Linked DNA regions of Bombyx mori. The protein of the gene in region 1 purifies or fractionates together with the protein of each later gene. This does not show direct contact. Links are inferred from orthologs where the notes say so. Each region holds a gene or a part of one and is shown on either strand. Other genes may lie near its edges.

The links.
Region 2: the proteins of potassium voltage-gated channel protein Shaker (region 1) and protein quiver purify together in Drosophila melanogaster (affinity purification with western blotting, with the first as the bait; 3 studies listed by BioGRID). This does not show direct contact. The link is inferred for Bombyx mori from reciprocal best matches to the Drosophila melanogaster genes Sh and qvr.

What each region holds. Positions count from the first base shown.
Region 1 is NC_085107.1:19,182,977-19,186,808, forward strand, and holds part of potassium voltage-gated channel protein Shaker, read left to right. Parts: intron 1-890; coding exon 891-1,081; coding exon of another isoform or gene 1,082-1,096; intron 1,097-1,334; coding exon of another isoform or gene 1,335-1,378; exon of another isoform or gene 1,379-2,210; intron 2,211-3,223; coding exon 3,224-3,441; intron 3,442-3,832.
Region 2 is NC_085108.1:8,129,734-8,134,207, forward strand, and holds the start of protein quiver, read left to right. Parts: upstream 1-1,413; 5' UTR 1,414-1,620; intron 1,621-2,504; 5' UTR 2,505-2,575; coding exon 2,576-2,600; intron 2,601-4,474.

The DNA.
Region 1 (3,832 bases):
TGTACTGTAGTGGATCTCATCGTGTTATTGTAACGCTTGTGATCACTTAGTAATCTCGTTGCCTCCTGAAGCCTCAATGTGTCTAGCGTATGAGGCTTTCTGGTGAGATGGTGAAATTTACACTTATTTAATAATATGCTACTATGTAAAATTGGTGTTCGTTTGGATGTATTGCTGTTTTATATATTTAGCACAAATTTTTTTAGCTCACACACCATTTTCGATAGAGGAGCACAGTTCAATGTTAAAAAGTGGTTTGTTTACGTGCATGATTTTTGTCTTCGTTTGTAGTATTTGTCATGTTTTAGTTTTAGTATTTATTAGTAATATATCAAATAAGTATTCAATTAAATCTGCCTTCGTTAGGAGCGGAATGGATCTTTGGGACTCACACAAGATATGTCGTTATAGGCACAATTAGCTAATTGTCCGTAATGAAAAATATCTGGCTGTGCGTTCGATTTAATGGATCTATTCTCCTCCGGCGGACGCAGCGCTGGCGATAACACGAAACCGCAATGCGTTTATTGAAAAGTTGCAGTTTAATTCTGTAACTAGCTGGCGAGAATGAAAGATGACGAATGAAATAGTACTTCTTCTACTCTCATTAAACAAACGCAAAAATGCGAATGCTAAGCTCTTTTTTATATAATGTACATTTAATAAATAAATAAAAAACTTTAGATTTCGTTTATCTTAATGAACATAAAAGAACGAGGACGCTGTTGATCTGAGAGCTATGGTATGTAAAATTATGTTGCATGTTTATTATCAGTAAAGATAATATTTATTGCAGACAGAAATAATTACTGAGTAAGGGCAACATGTTGTATTGTTAGGTGATTGTTGGGCCGTTTCTCTTTCTAATAAGTGCCTCATGCTGCGTACAGGCCGGTCGGAGTCTGGGGGAAAATCGTGGGTTCGCTGTGCGCCATCGCCGGCGTGCTCACTATCGCCCTCCCCGTGCCCGTCATCGTCTCCAACTTCAACTACTTCTACCACCGCGAAACTGACCAGGAAGAGATGCAGTCCCAGAACTTCAACCACGTAACCAGCTGCCCCTACCTGCCGGGAACCATGGGCGAGCCCTACCTGAGTAAGTTTCGCGATTTCTTCGTTTCATTAGTGTAAGCTCGACATTCTCTTTATATGAACTGACGTGTTGCGAACCAAGCGAATGTTGGTAAACTCCATTGTCCGTAATATCTCCGTTGGTTTATTTGCATGCGTTGCGCTTCACAGTTTTACCTCGCACTGCATGCTCCGTTTTTTTTTATTTATTTTTTTATTTTCTTTTGATTTGTTTCGTTTATGTTGATTTTCGATAATTTCAGGTGGGAGGGACGATGAGAGGGACGAGGTTTGCTGTGACCACTGACTGTCTGACTCGTTCGTGTGTTCGTTTTGTATTACTAAGGACTATTCCGATCGGCAGAGACGATTCTTGTGATATTATCGTGTAAGGGACGAAAGCGTGCCATTAGTTCCGTGTAAATATTATATAGTCAGTAAGCGATGTAAAAATAAGATAATAAAAATTGTTATTTACTTTTCTTTTTAGTTATGTTTGAGTGGAAAATATTTTCATGTAGTTATTTAATTATGATTTACGAGTATAGTCGGAAATCTCAACAATATATCACTCACATTACTCGGTCGAACGCGTGATAAATATTCCGGGAGCCGATAACTCATTTATGTGTAATGACTTTGAGAGTCATCGATGCTCGTGTAATATAAATTTATAGAATAACGTTTCAGTACAAGGATTTAAAAGAAATGTAAAATTTACGAGTACTTTTATGATTTGTTTGGGCGAGAAGAGAGTTTGGGGCGCGGCACGATTTCAGCTCGGCCGGCTGATATGTTTTGAATGTTGTTCGCCATTCACACGGCTCATGTTGCCGACAACATGTTGTGAACGTGTCAATCACTAAACGCTTTTCATGCACCACCACCCAAATACGAACCGCCGTTCTCTGATCTTATTTATTATGTAGTTGTCTAAATGCACCATTTATTGTTTATTTTATTTTGTATGCTGTTTATCATCACTTCGCTTTCCATTCGATGCCTAGTTGCGAACATTAGGACGACCAGCCGTGTGAATGGCCGTATTAATATATTAGTCGTAAACATTTTATATTTGTTCCGAAATCATGTTTTACCGATATTGTGACATAAAGTGAGGAAGTAAAAAGTAAGTTTTATTTTGTTTCTTTTTCTTTTGTATTTTTTTTTTTACAATTTTTTTTTCTTTCCCACTTATTATTCTGTTCCGGCAATTCGCATCGTAGGATTTTAATTTACGATAAGAAAATACCGATTAATTCTTTCAGTCGATTCAAATGTGCTTATAGTGTCTCTCCGTAAGGACTATATAACTTCAAATTTACACGTGGTTACCAGCACCTATTAACGATAAATTTTTAACACAATACACATAGTATTACAATTAAGTTGTTTGAATAAATCAACGGTAATTTCGTAATACTCACGACAGATGGCAACCGGCCAGTTCTAAATTCGTATTCCGAAACTGATTTAGATTCAATAAAAAACAATTTGTGAATAGAGTCGCTCCATTCTACGCATGATAATAGTAGGTATGCATACATACTTAAAGAACGTCACACACATTAGAGTATGCAAAAGATTTTATAATTTTCTTAATAAATTTAAGAATCTGTCATACAATTTTGTGGCATATTTAATCAAATTAGGCTGTTTGTTTGAAAAATTCATCGATTCGACTAAAAATATTACTTCTTCAAACACAATCCAAGGTTAAAAAAATCACCCAATATATAAAACCTAATTTTATTTTCTATCCAAAAACTACATTTTAATAGCACTACAGAAGCTAATCCCGTAAACGATACGAAGTCATTAAACTAGTAGGATTTTCTAGAAAATACGAAGAATACTTGCTTAATACATTAGTCATTGACTTTACATCACTAGTATTCAAATTGAAATAGACGGTAAGAAGGTTAGTAGGGTCAAATAAATATTAAAATCTCGATATCGATACTAGGTCGTGATGCGTCGCTGCAAATATTATTTTAGGATCTGACATTGATTAAACAATAGATCGCCAGAAATAGATCAAATGCCGAGTTCAGCAAGCCGAGCACTCCACGACTCCAGGTCAAGCCGTAACCGCTAGAATCTGGAATAGATTTAACCGTAGTGACGAGGGCAAACTCGGGAACAGTTTCAGGGCCAATACAGAAGAAGTCCTCTATGAGCGATGACTCCTCTTCTGAGATGATGGAGTTGGACGAGTCGGCCATGGCGTCCGAGCCGCAACTCGAGCAGAACCTGCGCCGCCTCCGCGAGGAGGAGAACCTTCTGCGCGAGCAGCAAGCCACCATGGAGGCCGGTGCGTTCGACGACATCGCCGCTCTGGAGCATCAGGACGCTCTGCGCCTCAACCAGGTTACTCATCTTTTTTACGTAATATCTTCATTAACCATTTACGGATACTAAAATTGAACGAATAAAAAAATATTAATTTTTTTTATTGCTTCGATGAGTGGACGAGCTCACAGCCACCTGGTGTCAAGCGGTTACTGGAGCCCATAAATGCGTCACCCACCTTGAGATATAAGTTCTAAGATCTCAAGTATAGTTACAACGGTTGCCCCACCCTTCAAACCGAAACGCATTACTGCTTCACGGCAGAAATAGGCAGGTTGGTGGTACCCCCCCCCACCTCATCTGGGTTTGACCTCGGAGGGGATCGGACGCTTAGGCGAAGAGTGCAGGGGAGTCGTTTAGTGGGTAGGGCCCTAAAATTCCTTGGGCCCGCGGTCTGTTTCCAACACCT
Region 2 (4,474 bases), on another chromosome or scaffold:
TTTGTCAGAAACTAACGTTTTTTTATTTTATTGCTTGGTTGGGTGGACGAGCTCGCAGCCCACTTGGTGTTAAATTGTTACTGGAGCCCATAGACATCTACAACGTAAATGCGCCACCCACCTTGAGATAAGTTCTAAGGTCTCAGTATAGTTCAACGGCTGCCCCACCCTTCAAACCGAAACGCATTACTGCTTCATGGCAGAAATAGGCAGGGCGGTGGTACCTACCCGCGCGGACTCACAAGAGGTCCTACCACCAGTAAGTGTAGTGTGACTTTACCGCGAAGGGAGTCAAATTTCTAATCTTCATCTAATTTATTGTCTAATGACGCGAGGTCTCTTTTACACAAGATTATCGTCGATCGCTTATCGTATTTTACGAGGAGACGAGCGGTGTTATAAATTCATTCTGACCAACAGTCAAAATACACCAATACAATTCAGTAAAACTAATAAACAAATAGTTTTCTTCCAGAAATAAGTAATTCATTTACAATGTTTCGTTTTTAAGCATTAGAAAGGAAAAAACAATGTTTAATAATAGCAAACCGCAATATGTACTGCTTTGCGGCAAAAACAGCAGAATCCAAATTAATTATGTAACTTTTACACACGAATGTTGGCTATCTGTAGAGTATTACAAAGTGGAAACGCTCAGGGCCCTTGTTGAATACATAAAAGGAGCAGCTTATTTTAATCTCTTGTTAATTAAATTAAATACGTTATTACATAAACGTGTTACGCTTAATTTATCAATTGTCAATGCACATAATACTGCCGCATAGCGACATAGGCATAACCAATGCTGGGGTGACAGTGCTGTCAAGAATAAAAGAAACCTTCACTTAGTAGGAATTTTATTTATTCTCCGTCTAAGATTTTGATAGTTTTTTACCGGTCTCATAGATATACAAATGCACAAACTCCTTTTATAAGACCAGGGGTTGGTTATAGCTTCATGATCCAATTTTTCATGTTCAATGATCTGTCGTTTGTTTTAGTTGAAAGTATTCAGGTCACACATTTGCAGATGCTTATAACCATATGTTCCTTTATCGTATGAGTCGTTCAAAAACGTATGTTAACTTTAAAATTATTCTATAAATTGATAATCGAGGGCTATGATCGCACACTTCACAAATCTCAGACAAGTGGTACTTAGAAATTAATAATTCCTAACGTCTTCTCTATTATATCTGTATTTAAAAATGCTCGTGCAATTAGCTTGGATTTTTTTTACAATAATATTTCAGAAAATACATTTTAAAAAATTTAACTGTGTTTTTAGTAATAAAAGTATCATTGAAAATATACTGTTACAGCATAATTTTGTCTAGCAAAAAAATATAAAAATTCTACTAAGCCTTGATTCAGAGAATTGGTAGTGGCTATAAATGCGCCGTTGGTAACCCCATCAGTAATTTTTGAGCGCGCGTGATAGTGTATCACTTTGCAACCAAAAAATGTTCATTAAAATCCTCTGACGCTTGTAAAACGCCAGAAAATCGCAAATCATTTATTTATTAGTAAAATAATGATTAAAAAACGTTTATAACATATGTTGTGTACATAATATAATATAGTTTTAGTTTTTAAGGAAAATAAAATGAATTACTGCCGGTAAGCGAATAAAAATACATTCTATAGAATGAAAAGTTAAAAAAATTGGTTTCGCTAGCTCTCTCATTATTTTATGAGAGTGAAGTGTCTTAAAATATTTGAACACAGTTATTTATGTAATTTTTAATTAACGAAGGACATAAATATAAATCTTAATTAATTCACAAACCGTTTAATTGAATTATATTTCATAGTGTTTTGACGGATTTTAATGGTTTGCGAGTGTTTTCGCTGGAAAATCAATAATGTCTGCGCATACTGCCGACTGCTGAGATCCCTAACGCAGTGTCCCTTGCCTGATACACGAAAAATAACATTTAGACATTTAACTAAATATTGTTACCACATAACAATATTATCTTAAAATTCATTCATGTATTCTTATGGATACCGTAATTTATATCATAACAAATCTTCGAAGTTGTAATTAAATTAAATAAATTAACGAAGATTATTATTTAAATTTTATTAAAATTGTGTGTATCCCATAGGAGCTTCATAGACATTTACTTCCAAAATTTGTTCTAAGACTTGATTTGGATAATTACTTAACAATAGTATTAAATAACTTATTTAAATCCACATTTTTTTGGATTCGAACACAGAAAGACACTTCAATCCAAACAATTTAAAAATCATAGACGTTATATGATAAAGTTTACAAATAAAATTTTCATGCGTCGATTTCCCGCCATTTCTCAGCATTTTGATACTGCAGGGATTGGCATTAGGCGCTTACGACTTATCGAAAACTCTCGAACTATGATAGCCTAACTAAATAATTAAAGTAATTAAGAATAAAGAACTTTTTAATATAAAAATTTACAAAAAAATTTTTTTTTTTTAATATTAAAATGTGATTTTAAAAATTCTGTATTTTGAAGCGGCTATGGCTGAGCCATCGTTCAGCTGAAATCGATGCGATCATTTCACTACAACAGAAGAAAAACGAAAAATGCGCTGGATATTTCCCGTTCCAGGTAAATACATCTCACATCATACTTTAAAAAATGTAAAAATTAATGAATTGAAGAAATACAGTATACAATAATTTACGAATTCCTCGGAAGAGACGATTGAAGTGACTATTCATTTAATTTTACATATTTAAATTAGAATAAAATTGAATAAATACGTAAATACGAGAGAAAGTTTCAAAATAATTGTCCAAGGTCAAATTCATGTCATTTAAAATATAAGCTCGAACATAAGCGGCAGCTTTTTGCTCAAAAGTTACGAGTATCCTAATTACATCAACTCATGGCTTCAATTTTTTGGGTTTTTACCATCCCCTACCTTTCTAATCTGTGTGCTTATAATATAGAATATATACTCCATACTTATATATACTATTTTTTTTTATTGCTTTAGATGGGTGGACGAGCTCACAGCCCACCTGGTGTTAAGTGGTTACTGGAGCCCATGGACATCTACAACGTAAATGCGCCACCCACCTTGAGATATAAGTTCTAAGATCTCAGTATAGTTACTGGTGGTAGGACCTCTTGTGAGTCCGCACGGGTAGGTACCACCACCCTGCCTATTTCTGCCGTGAAGCAGTAATGCGTTTCGGTTTGAAGGGCGGGGCAACCGTTGTAACTATATACTAAATACTAAAGAAGGAGTCTTCTCATAATTACAGTCTGAAGATTGTTTTCAATATTTTTGAGTCTCGGCCTTATTTTTAATGATAAGGATACAGCTTTGAAACCGAACACGAATAAAATTATTATTTTACAGAATATTTACGTAATTTTAAATGTGCTCCAATTGGTAGCTCTAGAATTAACACGTTGACTGCTATGTAGGTCACCGGTGACCTATGCGGCGCATCGAAGTAATTATGTCGATTTCAGTTACTAAGGATCTGGATTGCCTTACTTTGCCTTCTTTTGTTTTTTAATGTATGTTTTAGTCTATTAGGTCTCTTAGAAATACGCGCAGCGCCTCGCGCTTCTTTCTCAGGGCGTAGTCTCCCGGTAGGCATTGGAAGAAGAGGAAGTCTTTGGTCTTCCTTCTTCTTCTCTGGAGGCGCCGGAGTCCGACATAACCCGGTCTGTTAGAACCCCTCTCGACCGGGTATCCGTATTCCCGAGCGTTAAAAAAACAGGGTCTCTTAGAAATAGATTCATTCTCAGTATCTTCGGATTCGTCTTTCCCATAGTCTACTAGATATTCCCGCGCCTTACTAAGAAGATAGAAGAAAGAAATCGACATAATAACTTCATAGCGCCGCGTAGGTCACCGGTGATCTACACGGCAGTCAAAATGTTAATTGCATATGGAGATTAGATTTCAGATAAAGAGGTAACCTACGCCAATAATAAGTTCCACGTAAATAAGTTGTTAAGTCAATATAAAATCTCTAGAAAAAGCTATAATGTAACTTAGTTTTGTTATAGCATGTATATTAAATTTGTGAATTGAATTAGTTGATTGTATGAATCTAACATACTTAACCTATTAACTTTTGCGTAAATAATTGTAATTTTTTTTTTTTGATGTGTGGACGATCTCACAGCCCACCTGGTGTTAAGTGGTTACTGGAGCCCATAGACATCTACAATGTAAATGCGCCACCCACCTTGAGAATAAGTTCTAAGGTCTCAAGTATAGTTACATAAAATATAAAGTATCTTTACGAGTGCTCATATGAAACTTCTCAATATAGAAATATAATACAATACGTATTTTAATGCACTTTTTTGTGGCAATATATGAAAATTCTACTTGAATAAATTACTGGTAGGATGTTTTATTGGTGTTAAATTTGTTTACTGAATCAAATTGTTCACGTAATGAAACCGTGCCACTACCAATTGAAGGCTATGAAGTCGTCGTGGCCTAAAGGATA